Linked DNA regions of Anolis sagrei. The protein of the gene in region 1 interacts with the protein of each later gene in a pairwise test. Links are inferred from orthologs where the notes say so. Each region holds a gene or a part of one and is shown on either strand. Other genes may lie near its edges. The genes, in order: LMNA, BNIP3L and VAMP4.

Evidence for each region.
Region 2: the proteins of LMNA (region 1) and BNIP3L interact in a two-hybrid assay, tested with the Homo sapiens proteins (2 studies listed by BioGRID and IntAct). The link is inferred for Anolis sagrei from reciprocal best matches to the Homo sapiens genes LMNA and BNIP3L.
Region 3: the proteins of LMNA (region 1) and VAMP4 interact in a two-hybrid assay, tested with the Homo sapiens proteins (2 studies listed by BioGRID and IntAct, with this or other methods). The link is inferred for Anolis sagrei from reciprocal best matches to the Homo sapiens genes LMNA and VAMP4.

What each region holds. Positions count from the first base shown.
Region 1 is NC_090032.1:22,671,610-22,680,139, reverse strand, and holds the start of LMNA (lamin), read right to left. Parts: upstream 3,282-8,530; 5' UTR 3,252-3,281; coding exon 2,866-3,251; intron 1-2,865.
Region 2 is NC_090027.1:6,901,532-6,909,669, forward strand, and holds the start of BNIP3L (BCL2/adenovirus E1B 19 kDa protein-interacting protein 3-like), read left to right. Parts: upstream 1-4,566; 5' UTR 4,567-4,660; coding exon 4,661-4,754; intron 4,755-8,138.
Region 3 is NC_090024.1:130,545,844-130,553,628, forward strand, and holds the start of VAMP4 (vesicle-associated membrane protein 4), read left to right. Parts: upstream 1-4,298; 5' UTR 4,299-4,422; intron 4,423-7,785. UniProt on the Homo sapiens protein: Involved in the pathway that functions to remove an inhibitor (probably synaptotagmin-4) of calcium-triggered exocytosis during the maturation of secretory granules.

The DNA.
Region 1 (8,530 bases):
CTAAAGACAGAACAGCATATCCAAATATATACAGACACACACACACACACACATAGTGTGTTGACGGAACGAAGGGTTGCGCTTCTGCTAGGACTTCTTCTGGAGTGCATGGCAGTTTGCAATTCCACAGAAAATAAAGCATGTTTGCCTCATGACAAGTCCGCTGAGACAATGCAAGACAGAACAGCCCGATATAGGTCTATATATATATATATCTAGATTGTGTGTCCTGGCAGGGCCCGCTGGCATTTGGGAGAGGCTGGCAGGGAGGGTCCTGCCACATGGCTTCCCGGCCACACCCTGAAAGGGCTGCCAAAATGGAGATGGAGGGAAAGGAAGCCTGGTTTCTCCGCAAGGTGCTGGGAAGGGGCCCCCAAAGGGCATCTAGTCCGACTCCATTGCAAAAAGTGCAGCAAAGGAGGGGAAGGGGTTCAACGGCCCTGCCTTGCTTCCTTCCCAGAAAGGGATCTCTGGCCTTCCTGGGAAGAATCCAAGGTTCCCCCAGCAAACTTAATAGGATTCCACCCCCCTCCATGTAATCATCATCATCATCATCATCACTATAATATAATTGACTGGTTGCTGATGACTCAATAAATAAATATCATTACTACGACTCTATATATCATTATATAGTATTGTTTTCTTTGCAACCTTTTTTCTCTGGAAGGAGACTAAAAGTGGCTATGCATATATTACTATTACTTGATTATTATATACCCCTTTCTCCACAATTTATTTCATTATTGATTATCATTTTATTCTATATTTATATTCACTCATTATTTTTATTTATTAGGTGATTATCTGTCACATTATAAATAACTAATAGTTTTATAATTGTTGGGTGGCTGTGAGGTGTAGGCCTTCCCTCCCTCCCTCCCTCCCTCCTTCCAGGTGTTTTGGACTCCAATTCCCAGCATTCCTGGCAGCCTCAGGCCCTTTCCTTTTTCCCCCCAAGGCATGCTGGGAGTTGGAGTCCCACTCTCCTGAGGGGAGGCCTCTGACCTGGCCTTGAGCTTCTTGTGCTCCTCGCAGGAGGAAGGAAAGAAGGAGGGAAGGAGAGAAGGAAGGAAAGGAGGGAGAGAAAGAGGGAAAGAAGAAGGGAAAGAAGGAGTGAAGGAGGGAAAGAAGGAAAGAAAGAAGGGTAGAGAAGGAAGAAGGTGGAAGAAAAGGAGGAAGGAGAGAAGGAGAGAAGGAAGGAAAGAAAGAAGGATAGAGAAGGAAGGAAGGAGAGAAGGGGGAGAGAAAGAGGGAAAGAAGAAAGGAAGGAGAGAAGGAAAGAAAGAAAGGTAGAGAAGGAGGGAAGGAGAGAAAGAAGGGTAGAGAAGGAAGGAGGGAAGGAGAGAAGGAAGGAAAGAAAGAAGGGTAGAGAAGGAAGGAAGGAGAGAAGGAGGGAGAGAAAGAAGGGAAAGAAGGAGGGAAGGAGAGGTGGAATGAAAGAGAGAGAGAGCAAAGGAAGGAAGGAAGAAAGGAAGGAAAGAGACGAGGAAGGATGGAACGAAAGAGCAAAGGAAGAAACTGGTAGAGAAAGACGAGGAAGGGAAAGAACAGGGAGGGAGGGAGGGAGGGAGGGAAGGAAGGAAGGAAGGAAGGAGAGAAAGAGGGAGGCAAGGTTGGCCACAGCAATGAGTGGCAGGGTAGGGCTAGTATAATATAAATAGCTTGTAATTCATATAATATAAGTATCTTCCCGATGAGGCCTAACAATAATAAATAGCATAACAATTCATAATTTATAATAAGATTCTAGGGCTGGCCTGCCTCCTTTGAGATCCACTTGGGGGGGCCTTCTTCCCTTGAGGGGGTTTGGGACTCCAACTCCCATCATTCCTGGCACCCTGGTGCCCTTTCCTTCCCCCCTCCCCCAAGGCATGTTGGGAGTTGGAGTGTCAAGCCAGTCAAGGGGAGGCCTGGCAATATGATTCTAGGGCTGGCCTGCCCCCTTTGACTCCAACTCCCATCATTCCTGGCACCCTGGCATCCTTTCCCCCTGAGGCCTGCTGGGAGTTGTAGTCCCCTGGCGAGAGGGTGTGTGTGGGGACCCCCGGGCCTTCTTCCCTTGAGGTGTTTTGGACTCCAATTCCCATCATCCCTGGCCTCCTTTCCCCTTTCCCCCTGAGGCCTGCTGGGAGTGGTAGTCCCACTCTCCTGAGGGGAGGGGGAAGGCCTGGCAAGGGGGCCTTCTTCCCTTGAGGTGTTGGGGACTCCAATTCCCATCATTCCTGGCATCCTGGCGCCCTTTCCTTTCCCCCCAAGGCATGCTGGGAGTTGTAGTCCCAAGCCATTCAAGGGGAGGCCTGGCAATATGATTCTAGGACTGGCCTCCCTCCTTCCTTTGAGATCCACTTGGGGGGGGCCTTCTTCCCTTGAGGTGTTGGGGACTCCAACTCCCATCATTCCTGGCACCCTGGCATCCTTTCCCCTTTCCCCCTGAGGCATGCTGGGAGTGGTAGTCCCAAGCAGGTCAAGGGGAGGCCTGGCAATATGATTCTAGGGCTGGCCTTCTTCCTTTGAGATCTACTTGGGGGGGGGGGAGCTTCTGACTCCAATTCCCATCATTCCTGGCACCCTGGGGCCCTTTCCTTTTCCCCTGAGGCATGCTGGGAGTTGTAGTCCCACTCTCCTGAGGGGGGGGAGGCCTGGCAAGGGGGCCTTCCCTTGAGGTGTTTTGGACTCCAATTCCCATCATCCCTGGCACCCTGGGGCCCTTTCCTTTCGCCCCTGAGGGGGGGGGCAGGCCTGGCAAGGGGGCCTTCTTCCCTTGAGGTGTTTGGGACTCCATTTCCCATCATTCCTGGCACCCTTTCCCCCTGAGGCCTGCTGGGAGTTGTAGTGTGGACACCCCCTGAGGGACGGACTGACCTGGCCTTGAGCTCCTTGTGCTCCTCGCGGGTCTTGGCGAGCTCGAGCTGGAGCCTGGCCCGCTCCTTGGCGACGGAGTCGAGGGTCTTTCGTGCGTCGGCCAGCTCGGCCTCGTAGGCGCCCTTGAGCCCGCTGACCTCGCGGCTGACCTCCTCCTCGGACTCGCAGATCCGGAGCCGCAGCCCCGCGTTCTCCGACTCCAGAGAGCGGACCTTGTCGATGTACACCGCCAGACGGTCGTTCAGCTCCTGCAGGTCCTCCTTCTCCTGCAGCCGCGTGATCCGAGCCGGGGACAGAGGGGTCCCCATGGAGGAAGAAGACGAGGAGGCCGAGGCCCCGGCTCCAGTGCTCCGCGTGCCGCGCTTCCCGCCCACCGAGGACTCCATCCTGACAGGAATGCCGCGGCTGAGGAGAGCAGCACGCCTTAAATAGCCTCGCCCACCCCCAGGCCACGCCCCCTCCTCACTCACTCCCTCCCACAACAAGGCCGCGCCTGCGCACAACACACGCCTCGCCTCAAGGCTCTCTATCCCAAATAGATTCGCCTCCCTGGCCACGCCCCCTCCTCTTCGCCACGCCCCCTCCTCTCTCCCTCCCTCTCTCCCACAACAAGGCAAGGCCGCGCCTGCGCACAACGCATGCCTCGCCTCAAGACTCTCTATCCCAGAGACTCCCTCCCTGGACACGCCCCCTCCTCTTCGCCACGCCCCCTCTCGGCCCACAACAAGGCCGCGCCTGCGCACAACGCACGCCTCGCCTCAAAGCTCAATATAAGACTCTCTCTCTCTCTCTCTCCCGCCTCCCTGGACACGCCCCCTCCCCTTCGCCACGCCCCCTGCTTCCTCCCTCCCTCAACAAGGCCGCGCCTGCGCACAACGCACGCCTCGCCTCAAGACTCCAGGCTCCATTTCTCCCAAAGAGACTCCCTCTCTGGACACGCCCCCTCTTCTTCGCCACGCCCCCTGCTTCCTCACTCCCTCCCACAACAAGGCCGCGCCTGCGCACAACGCACGCCTCGCCTCAAGACTCAATATAAGACTCTCTCTCTCCCGCCTCCCTGGACACGCCCCCTCCCCTTCGCCACGCCCCCTCCTCCCTCCCACAACAAGGCCGCGCCTGCGCACAAAATACACCTCGCCTTGCCTTAAGACTCAAGGCTCTCTATCTATCCCAAAAGGGACTCCCTCCCTGGACACGCCCCCTTCTCTTCGCCACGCCCCCTGATTCCTCCCTCCCACCCTCCCACAACAAGGCCGCGCCTGCGCACAACGCACGCCTCGCCTCAAGACTCCAGGCTCTCAATTTCTCCCAAAGAGACTCCCTCTCTGGACACGCCCCCTCCTCCTCGCCACGCCCCCTTCTCCCTCCCACAGCAAGGCCGCGCCTGCGCACAACACACGCCTCGCCTCAAGGCTCAATATAAGACTCTCTCTCTGGGCCAAATAGACTCGCCTCCCTGGACACGCCCCCTCCTTCTCGCCACGCCCCCTCCTCCCTCCCACCCTCCCACAATAAGGCCGCGCCTGCGCACAACGCACGCCTCGCCTCAAGACTCCAGGCTCTCCATCTCCCCCAAATAGACACGCCTTCCTGGCCACGCCCCCTGCTTCTTGCCACGCCCCCTGCTTCCTCCCTCCCGCTCACAGCAAGGCCGCGCCTGCGCACAACATACACCTCGCCCTGCCTTGGAGTCAAGACTCTCTACCTCTCCCAGGCCTGGGCCAACTTGGGCCCTCCCTCCCTCCCTCCCTCCCTCCCTCCTTCCCCGTGTTCTGGACTTCAACTCCCACCATTCCCAGCAGCCTACCGGGTTGGGACCCAGCTGCATTAAAATCACGACTGAGTTCAAAGCCAGCCCAGGTTGGAGTAAGCTCCCGACCATTGGTCTAGCTTGCTGTCCACCTTTGCAGCCCCAAAGACAGTTGCCTCTGTCAAGTAGGAAATTTAGGTACTGCTTATGCAGGGAGGCTAATTGAACTAATTTTCTTGTTGTTCATTTGATCAGTTGTTGCAACTGTCAAGTAGGAAATTTAGGCTAATTTAACTAATTTATAATGCCCTAAAACTCTCCAGCAACATGCAAAGGAATGAGGAAGTACTCCATCAGTGTCACAAGTGGATGTTGAAGTGACAGCTCCCCTTTGAAGCCCAAAAGACAGTTGCCTCTGTCAAGTAGGAAATTTAGGTACCACTTATGCGGGGAGGCTAATTGAACTAATTGATAAATATTTTTTTTGTTGTTGTTTATTCGTTCAGTCGTTTCCAACTCTTTGTGACCTCAGGGACCAGCCAACATCAGAGTGCCCCGTCGGCCGTCACCTCCCCCAGCTCCTTCAAGGTCAATCCAGTCAATCTAGGAATTGTGGGAGTTGGAGTCCACAACACCAGGCCTGCTCTCTCCACATCCCTCCACCCATCTCTCTAGGCATTGTCCAGTGATCATAAACACCACCATAAGGAAACACTCTACATTGTGGTGCAGTTTGGAAGAGGATGGACCATGGACGATGGGACTTGCAGTACCTTCACTGCCTGAGACCATTACAGCCCACACCAATGACTGATCAAGACTAAACTGGACGCACAGAGCCTCCATGACCCACTCTACATCCTGGTGAAGTTTGGAGGAGGATGGATCATGGACGATGGGATTTGCAGTACCTTCACTCATTTCCTGAGACCACTATGACCACCAGGAATGATGGATCAAGAGCAAACTTGGCACACAGAGTCCCCATGACCCACTCTACATACTGGTGCAGTTTGGAGGAGGATGACCATGGATGATGGGACTTGCAGTACCTTCACTGCCTGAGACTATTACAGCCCACACCAATGACTGATCAAGACCAAACTTGTCAGCCCCCGTGACCCAATCTACATCCTGGTGCAGTTTGGAGGAGGATGGATCATGGACGATGGGACTTGCAGTACCTTCACTCACTTCCTGAGACCACTGCAACCCACACCAATGACGGATCACGACGAAACTTGGAACACAGAGCCCCCGTGACCCATTCCACATCTTGGTGCACTTTAGAGGAGGATGACCATGGATGATGGGACTTGCATATGGGAGTTGTAGTTCACCAGCACCCACTGTGCATCCTTGTGCATCAATCTGCCCATGTTTATGTACCTCACTCTCTGTCATCTTGATGCCAAGGGCACCCCAGCCCCCTGCTTTCAAGCTCATCTGACCAGCCGCAGGGGGTTCCGCAGTTCCTTGGATGCTCCATTGGGCAAGCGCTGATGAAATATGCCCCAGCAGCAGCCTAAACCAGTGACTCTTTGCAACCTTGAGCTCTCTCCTTTCGTTTCTTTCCCCTGCCCAAACATTGTAACTAAACCCTTAATAAAGACTAATTGAATTGTAACCTTCACCTCTTCGTAGTGATACATTGTGTCCCATTCCTGACTCACAAGTATGTAATGCATGAATTCAACCTTTTCCGGGGTGTGGGAAGCCACTGGCCCGCCTGGGATGCCTTCTAGGCATCCCAAGGAAGCCGAAACTGCGTTTCTTCAAACCGCGGATACGGATACACCTCGGGACCCCGTATCCGCGAGTTGACGGATTGACTCACCGCCTGGGATGCCTTCCAGGCGTCCCAGGGAGGGCGAAACTGCGTTTCTTCAAACCGCGGATACGAAAACCCCTCGGGGCCCCGTATCCGTGGGTGGACGGATCGACTCTCCAACGTAGCGATCCCCTGCCCAAACATTGTAACTAAACCCTTAATAAAGACTCACTGAATTGTAACCTTCACCTCTTTGTAGTGATACATTGTGTCCCATTCCTGACTCACCAGTATGTAATGCATGAATTCAACCTTTTCCGGGGCACGGGAAGCCGCTGGCCTGCCTGGGATGCCGAAACTGCGTTCCTTCAAACCGCGGATACGGAAACTCCTCGGGCCCCCATATCCGCGAGTTGACGGATTGACTCGCCAAAGTAGCAATCCCTCTTTGGTGGGGCCGCAGGGTCTCTCCTCTGACTAGACCCTTTCAAATTCCCTATCGACTTCAATCTATCTGTCTGTTCATCCACTTACCTACCTACCCATTCATCCCTCCATCTATCTATCTATCTATCTATCTATCTATCACACAAGGAATCTCAAAAGTACTGTATAGGAACGAGAACTAGGAAGACACTGGGGAAGACAAGAGCCAGGCGCAGGCCGGAGACCCCACCCGACACTCTTTGACTGTTTAATGGGTTGCTGTGGGTTTCCGGGCCCTGTTCCAGTGTCCGTCTTTCCTGACGTTTTGCCTGCACCTGTGGCTACGGACCCCCTCAGAGGATTCTTCAGAGCGCCTTGGAGAGCCCAGTGCCGGGCTGTTTCCCATTTGCAAACGAGAGGCTTCCCAGGAGACCAAACAGGCCTCAAGCTGGACGCAGGGAGGAAAACCCAGACCGGTTTCCCGGCAGTGAGTCACTCCCGTCGCCACGGCAACAGAGGCACACATACATGCCACACGCACATATACACACAGACAGCTTTTTTACAGGAGCCAGTAATCTAATATCTGGCCCGCATCACGGCAGGAATGAGTCACGGCTGGATGGGGAGGGAGAGCGGAGGCCAGTCTCTTCCCCTCTTTCTCTCAAGGGGGGGGGGAAGCCCCCAGGCGGCGGGGGAATCCGGCTCAGGAGCCCAGAACACATTTGGGGGAGCTCCCCCCCCCATAACGCCTTGGGGGCCTGCCTGGGAGGGAAGACCTTCAGGACCGGCAGGCTGGGGATCAACACCCAGGGTCTCTCTCTCTATCATCTATCTTTCCATCTGTCCGTCATATCTCTGGCCATCAATCTACGGCTGGGTGGCCATCTGTTGAGAGGAGTTTGATGGTGTCTTCCTTGATGGCAGAAGGGGGTCGGACTGGATGGCCCTTGGGGATCCCTTCCAACTCTAGCATTCTAGAATTGATCTTTCTCTCTCTCAATCATCTCTCTCCCTCTCCACATGTCAGTCATCTCCATGGCTGGATGGCCATCTGTCAGGAGGGGTTTGATGGTGTCATCCTTGATGGCAGAAGGGGGCTGGGCTGGATGACTCTGGAGGGTCCCTTCCAATTCGATGATCTCTCTTTCTCTCTTAATCATCTATCCCTTTCTCCATCTGTCAGTCATATCTCTGGCCATCAATCTATGGCTAGGTGGCCATCTGTTGAGAGGAGTTTGATGATGTCTTTCTTGATGGCAGAAAGGGGCCGGACTGGATGGCCCTTGGGGATCCCTTCCAACTCCAGCATTCCATGATATACTCTCTCTCTCTCTCTCTCTCAATCATCTATCTCTTTCTCCATCTGTCAGCCATATCTCTGGCCATCAATCTACAGCTGAGTGGCCATCTGTTGGGAGGGATTAGACAGTGTCTTGATGGCAGAAGGGGGTTCCTTCCAACTCCAGCATTCTAGAATAGATCTCTCTCTCTCTCTCTCTCTCTCTCTCTCTCTCTCAATCATCTGTCTCCCTCTCCACCTGTCACTCATCTCCATGTCTGGATGGCCATCTGTTGAGAGGAGTTTGATGGTGTCTTCCTTGATGGCAGAAGCGGGTTGGACTGGATGGCCCTTGGGGATCCCTTCCAACTCCAGCATTCCATGATAGCTTCTCCCCCCCCCCCTCAATCATCTATTTTTCCATCTGTCAGTCATA
Region 2 (8,138 bases), on another chromosome or scaffold:
AATGGGTTTATATATCTGTGGAATGACCAGGGTGGGACAAAGGACTTTTGTCTGCTGGAGATAAAAAGGTAAAGGTAGTCCCCTGACATTAAGTCCAGTCATGTCTGACTCTGGGGTGTGGTGCTCATCTCCATTTCTAAGCCGAAGAGCCAGCGTTGTCCGTAGACACCTCCAAGGTCATGTGGCCATTGGCATGACTGCATGGAGCGCCGTTACCTTCCCGCCGGAGCGGTACCTATTGATCTACTCACATTTGCATGTTTTCGAACTGCTAGGTTGGCAGAAGCTAGGGCTGACAGTGGAAGCTCACGCCGCTCCCCGGAATCGAACCTGCGACCTTTCGATCAACAAGCTCAGCAGCTCAGTGCTTTAACCCACTGCTCCACCGGGGGCTGCTGGGGACAGGTGTGAATATTTCAGCTGATCACTTTGATTAGCATTCAATGGCTTGGAAGTGCCCGGGGGGAATCCCTTGTTGAGAGTGATTTTATGTGCCTGTTTGTTTCCCCTCTGTTGTTTTGCTGTTGTGATTTTTGAGTCCTTTAATACTGGTAGCCAGATTTTGTTCATTTTCATGGTCTCTTCCTTTCTGTTGAAATTGTCCACATGCTTGTGGATTTCAATGGCTTCTCTGTGTAGTCTGACATGGTGGTTGTGAGAGTGGGCCAGCATTTCTGTGTTCTCAAATAATATGCTGTGTCCAGGTTGGTTCATCAGGTGCTCTGCTATGGCTGATTTCTCTGGTTGGAGTAGTTTGCAGTGCCTTTCATGTTCCTTGATGCATGTCTGGGCGCTGCGTTTGGTGGTCCCTATGTAGATGTGTCTACAGCTGCATGGTATACGGTAGACTCCTGCAGAGGTGAGAGGATCCCTCTTGTCCTTTGCTGAACGTAGCATTTGTTGGATTTTCTTGGTGGGTCTGTAGATGGTTTGTATGTTGTGTTTCCCCATCAGCTTCCCTCTGCGGTCAGTGGTTCCCTTGATGTATGGCAGGAACACTTTTCCTCTGGGTGGATCTTCATCTTGACTTACAAAACTAAAGTTCTGGTGGTGAAAATTTCAGAACTGTAACGAAACTTTCAAAATTTAATTATTATTTCATTATTGGTGATTTGCTTGGTTCCCTTGCAGCTCTTCTGATGTCTGAGGTGGAGTCTCCATTGGCCTGGAGAGCCACTTTTTGCACAGTCTGCCAAGGCTTTAATTGTGCTTCTTTTTTGACTTGGGTGATGGTTGGCTTTTTTTTTGACTACACAGAGAAGCCATTGAAATCCACAAGCATGTGGACAATTTCAGCAGAAAGGAAGAAACCATGAAAATCAACAAAATCTGGCTACCAGTATTAAAGGACTCAAAAATCACAACAGCAAAACAACAGAGGGGAAACAAACAGGCACATGAAATCACTCTCAACAAGGGATTCTCCCCGGGCACTTCCAAGCCATTGAATGTTAATCAAGGTGATCAGCTGAAACATTCACATCTAGCCCCAGCAAACAAAAGTCCTTTGTCCCACCCTGGTTATTCCACAGATATATAAACCCATTTTTCCTACTTCCAACAGACCTCACTACCTCTGAGGATCCTTGCCATAGATACAGGCGAAACGTCAGGAGAAAAACTGCCTCCAGAACATGGCCATATAGCCCGGAAAAACCTACAACAACCCAGTGATTCTGGCCATGAAAGCCTTCGACAATACAAATTATTATATTTATTATTATTATTATTATTATTATTATTACTATTATTCAGACTGTAAAGCAGGCCTGGGTCAACTTTACAACTAACACTGAGGCCTACCTCACACTGAGGCCATTCTCTACTGTATTAAATATTACTATATAAATAATATAATATTATTATAATGTACTATACCATTATATAGTAATATTATGAGTAATATCACATGTAATATAATATATAATTACATTGTTATTAGTATAAATACAATATATTAGCATAGTACAAAATCAGTATTACTATTACTATATAAATAATATAATATTATATTGTACTACACCATTATATTATAATACTAGCGGTCCTCTGCCACGCGTTGCTGTGGCCTTGTCTGGTGATATCCAAATAAAGTAATGAGAAAGTGTTGGTTTCTAATATATGTAATGTCTTTATGCTTGTGGGATTTCTTGATGTTTCTTTGACAGTGTTGACCTAGAAATTGTCTGGTTTGCCTACTCTGGAACATGCATCATATAATTGTCCATCTTTAGGAGTCCCTTTCAAATCTATAATACTTTATCTGTGTGTGTGTGAATCATATATATCTATTGATACCTATGGCTGGATGGCTCTCTGTTAGGAGGGCTTTGATTACGTTTTCTTGCCCTGGTGAAGGGAGTTGGACTGGATGGCCTTAAGTATTTTCTGTTGGTCATGGGGTTCTGTGTGGGAAGTTTGCCCCAATTCTGTCATTTGTATTTTTGTTGCTATCATTCAGAATAGTCTTTGATTGTAGGTGAACTATAAATCCCAGTAACTACAAGTCCCAAATGCCAAGGTCTATTTCCTCCAAATTCCATCTGTGTTCGTATTTGGTCATATGGAATATTCATGCCAAGTTTGGTCCAGATCCATCATTGTTTGAGTCCACAGTGCTCTCTGGATGTAGGTGAACTACAACTCTCAAACTCAAGGCCAATGCCCACCAAACACTGCTAGTATTTTCTGTTGTTCAGGGGAATCCTGTGTGCCAAGTTTGGTTCAATTCCATCGTTGGTGGAGTTCAGAATGCTCTTTGATTGTAGGTGAACTATAAATCCCAGCAACTACAACTCCCAAATGACAAAATCATAATTTTTTGAGTGATGGTCACTCCTTGTGTAGTGAGATGTTTTGTTGCCAAATTTGGTGTGATTTCGTTCATTGGTTCTTTTGTTTTTAAGGTACTCATTATGAACAGAGCATTTATATATATATATAGATATATAGATTACATAACTATATATACATGTATATATACATACAATATATTATTAGCATAGGACAATATCAGTATTAAATATTACTATATACATCTAATTAAATATTACTATATTATTAATATAATATTATATTGTACTGTACCATTATATTGTTATATCATGAGTAATATTACATGTAATATAAATATATAATTATATTGTTATTAGTATAAATACAATATATTGTATTAGCATAGTACAACATCAGTATTAAATATTTAAAAAGGTAAAGGTAAAGGTAAAGGTAGTCCCCTGACATTAAGTCCAGTTATGTCTGACTCTGGGGTGTGGTGCTCATCTCCATTTCTAAGCCGAAGAGCCAGCGTTGTCCGTAGACACCTCCAAGGTCATGTGGCCGGCATGACTGCATGGAGCGCCGTATTAAATATTACTATATATATATTTAAATATTACTATATTAATAATGTAATATTATATTGTACTATACCATTATATTGTAATACTATGAGTAATATTACATGACATATAAATATATAATTATTAAGCTTGGGCAATCCATGCTTCTAAATGGTTCTAAAGTACTTACAAAACTAAAGTTCTGGTGATGAAATGACATCTCCTGGGAAGACAAGCGGACAAACGTCAGCGTGCTGGAAGAAGCAAAGACCACCAGCATTGAAGCGATGGTCCTCCGCCATCAACTCCGCTGGGCCGGCCATGTTGTCCGGATGCCCGACCACCGCCTCCCAAAGCAGTTGGTCTACTCCGAACTCAAGAATGGAAAATGGAATGTCGGCGGGCAGGAAAAGAGATTGAAAGACGGGCTCAAAGCCAACCTCAAAAACTCTGGCATAGACACTGAGAACTGGGAAGCCCTGGCCCTTGAGCGTTCCAGCTGGAGGACAGCTGTGACCAGCAGTGCTGCAGAATTCGAAAAGGCACGAGTGGAGGGTGAAAGAGAGAAACGTGCCAGGAGGAAGGCGCATCAAGCCAACCCCGACCAGGACCGCCTTCCACCTTGAAACCAACGCCCTCACTGTGGGAGATGTGGGTCAAGAAGAGGGCTCCACAGCCACCTACAAACCCACAAAAATAGTCATCAAGGAAGACCATCTTACTCGTCCAACGAGGGATCGCCTAAGTAAGTAAGTAAGGTGGTGAAAATTTCAGAACTCTAACAAAACTCTCAAAATTTCATAATAAATGGCAGTTCCTAATTGGTTCTGCCATTAAAATCACCAATAATGAAATAATAATTACATTTTGAGAGTTTTGTTAGAGTTCTGAAATTTTCACCACCAGAACTTTAGTTTTGTAAGTACTTTGGAACCATTTAGAACCATGGATTGCCCAAGCCTAAGAATTATATTGTTATTAGTATTATACTGCATTGCATTATAATATTAGGCTTCAGGAGAGCAGTCAGGGCGTGGGCTTATTTGGGTGCCTTGATCGCTTGCCTTCTCTGCAAGGAGCCGCCTACACTCTTGCGCCTGCGCACTGAAGGCTCAGTCCTCTGGCCACACCCCCTCTCCGCGGACGTGAGAAGCGTCAGGGAGGAAAAGCGGAAAAGGGGGGCGTGATCTCCCGGGCGCATGCGCGCTGGCTTAAAAAAGGCAGGCGCATGCGCAGCACACGCCCCGTGTTGTTTGGTGTTGTTGTCCCCCTCTCTCTCTCGCCAACCCAGACGGAAGGAGAGTCCCGCGCCGGCCGCCATGTCGTCCTCCCCTCCTCAGGAGTCGCCTCACAACAACAACAACCCCCCGCCGGGGGAAGGGGAAGCGACGCCAGCCGAGGCCGGGCTCAACAGTGAGTAGGAGCGGGTGGGCGAAGGGGAAAGTCAGGGCAAGCCCAGGGGAAGGCGAGGGGTCGCCTCCCCGCCTGAGGGAACCTTCCTCTCGGCCTGGATTGGCTGGGCCTGTCAAAGATAACCTGAATCGAACAGGAAGAATACCCCTTGGGTCTAGCAGCAGTCCTTTTGGGATGACTTACTTACTTAGGCGATCCCTCCTTGGACGAGTAAGATGGTCCTCCTTGATGACTATTTTTGTGGGTTTGTAGGTGGCTTTTTTTTTTTAATCGTGTCATCAGCAACCATTGTATTACAATTCTAACAGAGCAAAACAAACACAGAGATTAAAAAGAAAAAAAAAGAAAGAAAAAAAACCACACAGATTTTGCAAATTTGGTAGTTGACTAAATGTTCTTTGACCAGTATCTGGCCCCTTGGAGTGCCTCTGGTGTTGCCTCAAGAAGGTCCTCCATTGTGCATGTGGCAGGGCTCAGGTTGCATTGCAGCAGGTGGTCAGTGGTTTGCTCCTCTCCCCACTCGCATGTCGAGGATTCCGCTTTGTAGCCCCATTTCTGAAGGTTGGCTCTGCATCTTGTGGTGCCCGAGCGCAGTCTGTTCAGCGCCTTCCAAGTTGCCCAGTCTTCTGTGTGCCCAGGGGGGAGTCTCTCGTCTGGTATCACCCATGAATTGAAGTGCTGGGTTTGGGCCTGCCACTTTTGGACTCTCGCTTGCTGGGGTGTTCCAGCGAGTATCTCTATAGATCTAAGAAAACTGTGTCTTGATTTAAGTCGTTGACGTGCTGGCTGATACCCAAACAGGGGATGAGCTGGAGATGTCTCTGCCTTGGTCCTTTCACTATTGGCTGCTACTTCCCGGCGGATGTCAGGTGGTGCAGTACCAGCTAGGCAGTGTAATTTCTCCAGTGGTGTGGGTCGCAGACACCCTGTGATAATCGGCATGTCTCATTAAGAGCCACATCTACTGTTTTAGTGTGGTGAGATGTGTTCCACACTGGGCATGCATACTCAGCAGCAGAGTAGCATAGCGCAAGGGCAGATGTCTTCACTGTGTCTGGTTGTGATCCCCAGGTTGTGGCAGTCAGCTTTCGTATGATGTTGTTTCTAGCGCCCACTTTTTGTTTGATGTTCAGGCAGTGCTTCTTGTAGGTCAGAGCACGGTCCAAAGTGACTCTCAGGTATTTGGGTGCGCTGCAATGCTCCAGTGGGATTCCTTCCCAGGTGATCCTCAGAGCTTGACTGTTCTTAAGGTGAAAGGCGCATGTCTGTGTTTTAGATGGATTAGGGATCAGTTGGTTTTCCCTGTAATAGGCAGTAAGAGCTGTGGAGCCCTATTCTTGACCCGCATCTTCTCCCACAGTGAAGGCATTGGTTTCCAGGTGGTCGGGGTTGGCTTGACGCGCCTTCCTCCTGGCACGTTTCTCTCTTTCACCCTCCATCCGTGCCTCTTCAAATTCTGCAGCACTGCTGGTCACAGCTGACCTCCAGTTGGAGTGCTCAAGGGCCAGGGCTTCCCAGTTCTCAGTGCCTATGCCAGAGTTTTTAAGGTTGGCTTTGAGCCCATCTTTCAATCTCTTTTCCTGCCCTCCAACATTCCGTTTTCCGTTCTTGAGTTCGGAGTGGAGCAACTGCTTTGAGAGACGGTGGTCGGGCATCCAGACAACGTGGCCGGTCCAGCGGAGTTTATAGCAGAGGACCATCGCTTCAGTGCTGGTGGTCTTTCCTTCTTCCAGCACACTGATGTTTGTCCGCTTGTCTTCCCAAGAGATTTGCAGGATTTTCCAGAGGCAGCGCTGATGGAATCGTTCCAGGAGTTGCATGTGACGCCTGTAGACAGTCCACGTTTCGCAGGAATAGAGCGGGGTTGGGAGGACAATACAGTGAGGGCATTCGTTTCCAGGTGGAAGGCGGTCGGGGTTGGCTTGATGCGCCTTCCTCTTGGCACGTTTCTTTCTTTCTCCCTCCATTCGTGCCTCTTCAAATTCTGCAGCACTGCTGGTCACAGCTGACCTCCAGCTGGAGCGCTCAAGGGCCAGTGCTTCCCAGTTCTCAGTGTCTATGCCAGAGATTTTAAGGTTGGCTTTGAGCCCATCTTTCAATCTCTTTTCCTGTCCTCCAACATTCCGTTTTCCATTCTTGAGTTCGGAGTAGAGCAACTGCTTTGGGAGACGGTGGTCGGGCATCCGGACAACGTGGCCGGTCCAGCAGAGTTGATGGCGGAGGACCATCGCTTCAATGCTGGTGGTCTTTGCTTCTTCCAGCATGCTGATGTTTGTCCACCTGTCTTCCCAAGAGATTTGCAGGACCAGATCTTCGGGGCAGTGCAGTGAGGCAAAATGGTGTCCTGAGATGGTTTTTAAGCAACTTTTAATGTGAACATAAGTGATTTTAATGCTTGCATATATTTATGGTTTTATACAATCATAGAATCAAAGAGTTGGAAGAGACCTCATGGGCCATCCAGTCCAACCCCATTCTGCCAAGAAGCAGGAATATTGCATTCAAATCACCCCTGATAGATGGCCATCCAGCCTCTCTTTAAAAGCTTCCAAAGAAGGAGCCTCCACCACGCTCCGGGGCAGAGAGTTCCACTGCTGAACGGCTCTCAGGAAGTTCTTCCTCATGTTCAGGTGGAATCTTCTTTCTTGTAGTTTGAAGCCATTGTTCCGCATCCTAATCTCCCGGGAAGCAGAAAACAAGCTTGCTCCTTCCTCCCTGTGACTTCCTCTCACATATTTATACATGGCTATCATATCTCCTCTCAGCCTTCTTTTCTTCGGGCTAAACATGCCCAGCTCCTTAAGCCACTCCTCATAGGGCTTGTTCTCCAGACCCTTGATCATTTTAGTCGCCCTCCTCTGGACACATTCCAGGTTAGAGTCAATATCTCTCTTGAATTGTGGTGCCCAGAATTGGACACAATATTCCAGGTGTGGTCTAACCAAAGCGGAATAGAGCATGGGGAGCATGACTTCCTTAGATCTAGACACTATGCTCCTATTGATGCAGGCCAAAATCCCATTGGCTTTTTTTGCTGCCACATCACATTGTTGGCTCATGTTTAACTTGCTGTCCACAAGGACTCCAAGATATTTTTCACACGTTCTGCTCTTGAGCCAGGCATCGTCTCCCATTCTGTATCTTTGCATTTCATTTTTCCTGCCTAAGTGGAGTATCTTGCATTTGTCCCTGTTGAACTCCATTTTATTAGTTTTGGCCCATCATCTCTCTAATCTGTCAAGATCGTTTTGAATCCTGCTCCTGTCCTCTGGAGTATTGGCTATCCCTCCGAATTTGGTGTAGTCTGCAAACTTGATGATCATGCCTTCTAGCCCTTCATCTAAGAATACCACTTGGGTCTAGCAGCAGTCCTTTGGGATATGG
Region 3 (7,785 bases), on another chromosome or scaffold:
CGGGGGGGGGGGGGGGGGGAGAAACGAAAGGTGAGGAAGATGAATTACAAGCTCTTGTCTCTTATGATTCTAAAATAAACACAAAAGTTTGCATTTTGAGCCCAAAGGGTGTGGAATGGCTGTTGAGGATTCCTGTTGATCCCCAAGTGAGTTTAACCTGGGTTAACCCAGAACAGCCCTGTGTGGCATTTATCCACCATGGGGTTGATTGCACCTCAAACTGACCTAAGTCGTTAGTGTAGATATGCCCAAAGAAGTATCAAAGCCCAGTAAAGTAAAAGACAAAGATCCTCTAGTTGCCAGACCTCCTTTGTCCAATTTTAATCCTGCTTTTCATATGATTGCTACAATAGTAAGAACAAGAGTGATGATTTAGCAATGAGTGTTTTGTTAACGCTACTCAGCAGAAATTAATTAATTAATTAATTAGCTGTATTTATATTCCGCCCTTCTCACCACGCAGGGGGCTCAGAGCCGATTACAATGTATGCATATATGGCAAACATTCAATGCCAAAGACACACAACAGATATAGACAGACAGTCAGAGGCTATTTAACTTTTTCTGGCCGCCAGGGGAACTGTCGCTTTCATCTTCCATCTGCGACACTGATGAAGTACTTCCATATTCCCCGCATGCTTGCTGGAGTCTTTTTATGGCCTCATAAATTAGTTAAATTAGCCTCCCCACACAAAGGTGGTACCTAATTTTCCTACTTGACAGATGCAACTGTCTTTTGGGTTGCAAAGGTCGACAACAAGGTACATAATTGGTTGGAAACTCACTCCGACCCAGGCTGGCTTCGAACTTATGACCTTTTGGTCAGAAGTGATCTTAATGCAGCTGACACTCAGCCAGCTGCGCCACAGTCCCGGAACTGAGAGTTCCATGGAAAGTTACCAATTCCTTTAAAAATAATGTTACAATCTCTGATTATAGTTACTTTCTCTATGGCTAATGTCATGTGACCCAAGTTTATTGCTGCTGTCATAAAACAGCTCTGTATGTTGATGGCATTTTAATCTTCCTTAAAAATCCTGAAATGTCCCCTTCTCAATTTTGAAACAGGCCATGAATCACATAGACATATATTCAGGCATCCAAAGTAATTACTGTACCTGAATGTTCCACCTCCATAATAAAAATGCTGGCAATTCCTCACTAACGTACCATTTCATCCCATTTGGAGTTTCCAAGTCATGGCATAACAATTATTATTCTTATTATGAAAGGCAGATCTGAATGGACTCCATGTTCAATTTTATATTGCCACTACCTTTAATCCTACGTCTTGTCTTTCAATTGTTAGATGTGTAATGTAATTTTTGTAATGTCATTATTCAAATTTTATAGCAATGTCTTTATTATTACAGCATTGCATCTTTGCTGTTATTTGTTGGAAACCCCCCCCCCCCCGAGTCTGAGATAGGGCGGGTGTAAACAAAAGTAGGGCAAACACTTCTGTCGCGAGGCAGGATGGATCTTGTTTTTCTTATCTCACCTCTGCCTCCAATTATAAACTTATAATAATAATATGAGGAGCCCAAGATAGAGATGATGCGTGTTGCTGAGACTTTGTTTATATATATATATATATATATATATATATATATATATATATATATAAATAAATAAAAAGTGGGGTTTATATGAGAGAGATGACTTCTAGGACACCTGTTTGTGTCACTTTAATATGTGTATCCCAGTGCCATAAAACTGTCTTCGGTTCCACAAGATCTCATCTTCTCTTTCCTGGAGAAACTTCTCTTTAATAAGTAGTCACAAACACTCAGTATTTTGAACTGATCAGAAACAACATTTATTTAAAGGTTTCTCAGGTTCACATAAGCTTGACGGTTTTTTAAAAAACTGTTTTTTAACTGTTGGTTCTTCGGAGAACATGAAACTGTTACTATTAAATTTTTAACAATGGCTTATCTTCTCTCTCCTTAATGTTTGTTATTTCTTTTCTTTGAAACTTAGTTTCTTTTCTCAGTCCCACTTTTATTGCTTCAGGCTTGACACTGAAGTCATAAATAAAACTACCTGGAATCCCTTTCTTCTAGCAACCCAGCTAGATTATACTACAGACTTAAATATTTCTACCCTTACTTACTCAACACTGAAGATTAAACACTTGGCTCACTACCTGTAGCCACCTATTCCTTCTGACTACCTGTCAGAGACTTAAACTACTTGGTCTAGCTCCACACAACTACAACCAACCATCCTTTGGTTCATCTGGGCACCAACTGACTCTTTTCAAGTTGTGTTCTTTCAAACAGTGGCAGTTAGCTCCGCCGCTTTCTCTTCTGCCTTGAGGACTATGTCGCTATGGCAATGCCTTAGCTCAGGCTACCCATCAGCTGCACCTATATCATAATATCAATAAACATATGTAAAACCTCCATTTTTAATTAGACATTTCATTACAGCGGGATATAAATAAAGTCGAAGGCTTTCATGGCCAGAATCACTGGATTGTTGTAGGTTTTTTCGGGCTATATGGCCATGTTCTAGAGGCATTCTCTCCTGATATTTCGCCTGCATCTATGGCAAGCATCTTCAGAGATAGTGAAGTCTGTTGGAAGTAGGAAAATAGGTTTATATATCTGAGGAATGACCAGGGTGGGACAAAGAACTCTTGTCTGTTGGAGCTTGGTGTGAATGTTTCAACTGACTACCTTGATTAGAATTTGATGGCCTGGCAGTATTAAAAAAACTCTAAAATTACAACAGCAAAACAACAGAGAGGAAACAATCAGGCACACCTAATCACCTCTCAACAAAAGATTACCCCAGGCACTAACAAGCCACACCAAACAACTGCCAGACCATCAAAAGTGAAGCTACCTATCCGACCGCATCTCTGCCTATGAACCCACCAGGACTTTGAGATCTTCCGGGGAGGCCCTGCTCTCGATCCCGCCTGCTTCTCAATCACGGCTGGCGGGGACGAGAGATAGGGCCTTCTCGGTAGTGGCTCCTCGGCTATGGAACGCCCTTCCTACGGACATTAGACTAGCACCATCTCTAATGGTATTCCGCAAAAAAGTGAAGACCTGGCTGTTTGAGCAGGCGTTCGAATAATTAGTGCAATGATTGGTTAATGAACACTGGAATGGAACAATGGATGACGAATCTGGAACATGTTTTTGATTATGAGACGACAGTGAATGGGTATTGTAGTAACTGTTTATTAATTGTGTAATGTGTTAGATTGTTAACTGTTTTTATACTGTAGCACTGAATTTTTGCTGTTCGTATTTGTTGTGAACCGCTGTGAGTCGCCTTTGGGCTGAGAACAGCGGTATATAAGTAAGGTAGGTAAATAAATAAATAAATATAAACCCCTTTTTCCCAGCTCCAGCAGACCTCACCTCTGAGGATGCCTGCCATAGATGCAGGCGAAATGTTAGGAGAAATGCCTCTAGAACATGGCCATATAGCCCGAAAAAATCCACAAGAATTGAGAAATAAATAAATGCTAATCAAGGTGGTGAGTTGAAACATTCACACCTAGCTCCAACTAACAAGAGTCCTTTGTCCCACCTTGGTCACTCCACAGATATATAAACCCTTTTTCCTAGGTCCAACAGACCTCACTACCTCTGAGGATGCTTGCCATAGATGCAGGCGAAACGTCAGGAGAGAATGCCTCTAGACCATGGCCATATAGCCCGAAATAACCTACAACAACCCAAAGTTTACTATTGTTATGATACGTCCTGTGCATAAACTAAAAATATAAGGTGATAATATCCAGCCTTTATCTGAATGAACATCCTGTTGATTGGAGCCTATTCTGTTTTGCCATACTATGCCCTGATAGTGGCTACTTTGTTCAGAGCCTGATTTACACATCAAAGTAATCAAATGTTGTGGTACTCCCATTTGTTTTAGAACAGCCCAAAGGTTTGCATGGTTTCCCTCGTTTTCTCCAGCTCAATGTGATGAAGTCCTTACTTTGCTTCAGGGCGAAAAGCCTTCGCAGGACGATACTCCCAGGCGGAGAGTCAGAGGTGGAGCGAGAGGGCCCACCGTGGCCTGCTTTGGGGCGACTCCAAGCGCTTGCCCCAGGCTTCTCCGGCACGAGGCCTCGCAGAGAGGCCGCGGGGTCACAGAAACGCCCTTTAAAGCTCCCAACGCTTTCCCGCCTTTCTTGGGAAAGGAAAGACTCCGTCGCGCGCGCCCCCCTCCAGGCAAAGCGCGAGGAACCGGAAGTCGCGCGAGCAGGGCTTCTAGGGACGCTTTCGGCAACTGAGAGAGCCGCTGACGTCACCCCGTCTCCTCAGTCATTTCCGTGCCGGTCCGGAACAGGAAGTCAGTGAAGAAGAGCGGGGTTTTCTGGGAAGAAGCCTATGCGCTCCTGAGAGGCCTGGCTCCGTCGTATGTGTGAGGGGATGGAAGTCGTCGGATAAGGTGAGGAACAAGGGTGAGGGAGAGGGAGGCAGAAGGCCGGGGTGGCCAACGAGGGAGAGCTCCCCCCGAAGGCGGGCCTGTGGGAAGGGGGCGTCGGGTGAGAGGAAGCCCTCCCACACAGACATACTGCAAGCGACTGTGGGACCCTTGGCCAATGGAGGGCTGGCCCTTTGGAAGGGCGAGGGAGGCTCAGGGCGGTTTCCAAAGGCAGCCATAGGAACAAAAGAGACAAACAAGCAGTTAAAACGCACAGTTACAAATAAAAAACAATAAACCATGTAATCGAGCGACCCCGTAAATAACACCACAGGCTGATGATGATGATAATAATAATAATAATAATAAAACTTTATTTGTATCATCTCCCCAAGGGACTTGGTGCGGCCAAGCCCACGATACATCAATAAACAAAACATCAATAAAACAATCAAAACAATTCATATTTTTTATTTGTCGTGTCAGGGCAACCAGTCAATTATTATTTATTTATTTATTTATTTATTTATTTGCTTCACTTTTATACCGCATATTTCAGCCCTTGACGGGCGACTCAATGCGGTTTACAGTGCACTTAAAAACACAGCAATACAACAACCGGGACGACAATGTTGCTCCACAACAATTAACATCAGACAGACAAATCTACAAACAACATATATAGCGCCTCCGTTAAAGTCAGATCCATTCTCATAGTCATTGTGCCGTTCCTATGTTCAGTTACCGTCTTCCTTAGTTAGTTGCATTGCCTAGCCAAACGCTTGTTCGTAAAGCCAGGTCTTGACCATTCTCCGAAACGCCAGCAACGAAGGTGCCTGTCTGATGTCTGTTGGTAAGGCATTCCATAGCCGAGGGGCCACCACTGAGAAGGCCCTGTCTCTCGTCCCCGCCAAGCGCGCCTGTGACGCAGGCGGGATCGAGAGCAGGGCCTCCCCAGACGATCTCAATGTTCTAGTCGGTTCGTAGGCGGAAATGCGTTCGGAGAGGTAAGCGGGGCCAGAACCGTTTAGGGCTTTATAGGCCAAGGCCAGCACCTTGAATTGAGCCCGGTAGCGGATTGGCAGCCAGTGGAGCTGGCTCAGCAGAGGAGTGGTGTGCTCCCTGAGTGCCGCTCCTGTTAGCAACCTGGCTGCCGAGCGCTGGACCATCTGAAGCTTCCGGGCCGTTTTCAAGGGCAACCCCACGTAGAGCGCGTTGCAGTAATCAATCCGGGATGTGACCAGAGCGTGGACCACCATGGCCAAGTCCGACTTCCCAAGGTACGGGCGCAGCTGGCGCACAAGTTTGAGTTGTGCAAATGCTCCCCTGGACCCGAGACCTGGGGTTCCAAGCTTAGCGAGGAGTCCAGGATCACACCCAAGCTGCGAACCTGCGTCTTCAGGGGGAGTGTAACCCCGTCCAACACAGGCTGTAACCCTATACCCTGTTCGGCCTTCCGACTGACCAGGAGTGCCTCTGTCTTATCTGGATTCAATTTCAATTTGTTCACCCTCATCCAGTCCGATACAGCGGCCAAGCAACGGTTCAGGACCTGAACAGCCTCCTTAGTAGTAGGTGGGAAGGAGTGACAGAGTTGGACGTCATCTGCGTACAGATAACACCGCACTCCGAAACTCCGGATGATCTCTCCCAACGGCTTCATGTAGATGTTAAATAACATGGGGGACAATATTGAGCCCTGCGGAACCCCACAAGTCAATGGTTGTGGGGTAGAGCAATTGTCCCCCAGCAACACCTTCTGAGTACGATCCTCTAGGAAGGACCTGAGCCACTGCAGAGCAGTGCCACCAAGGCCCATTCCCGCAAGGCGTCTCAGAAGGATACCGTGGTCGACGGTATCGAAGGCCGCTGAGAGGTCCAGCAGAACTAACAGGGACACACTCCCCCTGTCTAGCTCCCTGCGCAGATCATCCACCAAGGCGACCAAGGCTGTCTCGGTACCATGTCCCGGCCTGAAACCAGACTGTGCCGGATCTAGATAATCAGTGTCTACCAAGAATGCCTGGAGTTTACATTTACATTACATTTCTAACAGTACAAAGCAAAGAAACAGTCAAAATACAAAATTTGTGAGTTTGGTAGTTGGTTAAATGTCCTTTGACCAGTATCTGGCCACTGGGAGTGCTTCTGGTGTTGCCGCAAGAAGGTCCTCCATTGTGCATGTGGCAGGGCTCAGGTTGCATTGCAGCAGGTGGTCAGTAGTTTGCTCCTCTCCGCACTCGCATGTCAAGGATTCCACTTTGTAGCCCCATTTCTGAAGGTTGGCTCTGCATCTCGTGGTGCCAGAGCGCAGTCCGTTCAGCGCCTTCCAAGTCGCCCAGTCCTCATTTGGTATCAGCCATTGGTTGAGGTTCTGGGTTTGAGCCTGCCACTTTTGGACTCTCGCTTGCTGAGGTGCTCCAGCGAGTGTCTCTGTAGATCTTAGAAAACTATTTCTAGATTTAAGTCGTTGACATGCTGGCTGATACTCAAACAGGGGATGAGCTGGAGATGTCTCTGCCTTGGTCCTTTCACTATTGGCTGCTACTTCCCGGCGGATGTCAGGTGGTGCAATACCAGCTAGGCAGTGTAATTTCTCCAGTGGTGTAGGGCGCAGACACCCTGTGATAATGCAGCATGTCTCATTAAGAGCCACATCTACTGTTTTAGTGTGGTGAGATGTGTTCCACATTGGGCATGCGTACTCAGCAGCAGAGTAGCACAGTGCAAGGGCCAATGGACAGACCAAATGTAATAAATTAAAATTAAAAAATAATACTGATGTGAACAAGGTAGGATATAACTGGGATAGGATTTTCAGAGAGAAATGAGGGAACACGTCAGTCCTAAATCAGTGGTAAAGTGCATTTTGAGGGCATATTACTGAGAGTTTTCCTTATTCTGGGAAGGCACATCTGTATACAATAACTTGGCTATCCAGTATGTTAAGGAAATATGATCATCATCGTCAGACAAGATACAAACAAAAAAGAGCTAATAATCTTCCTCTCCAAAGGCTAATGTGCAAATGTATGTTTTAAAGTGATTATTGAAGGAGAGGAGTGAAGAGGTTCTGATTTCCATAGGGATGGAGTTCCAGCGGGAGGAACGAGCACAAAGAAGGCCCTCTCATGTTCCCACCAACCACACTTGAGACAGGGTGGGACTGAGAGTAGGGCCCCCTCCAATGACCACAGTGTCCATGTTGGTTTATATGTAGGAATGCGATTAATTAACTAGCCTGGACCAGAACCATCTAAACTGTTTATCCCACAGCTGAGCAGTTCATTCTGTCAAGAGGTTCATCCCATTGTTTAGGTACAGGGTGAGGCAGCATAACTTCCTTTTTTCAAAACTTAATAAAACCAATTGTATGAATCAGAAAAA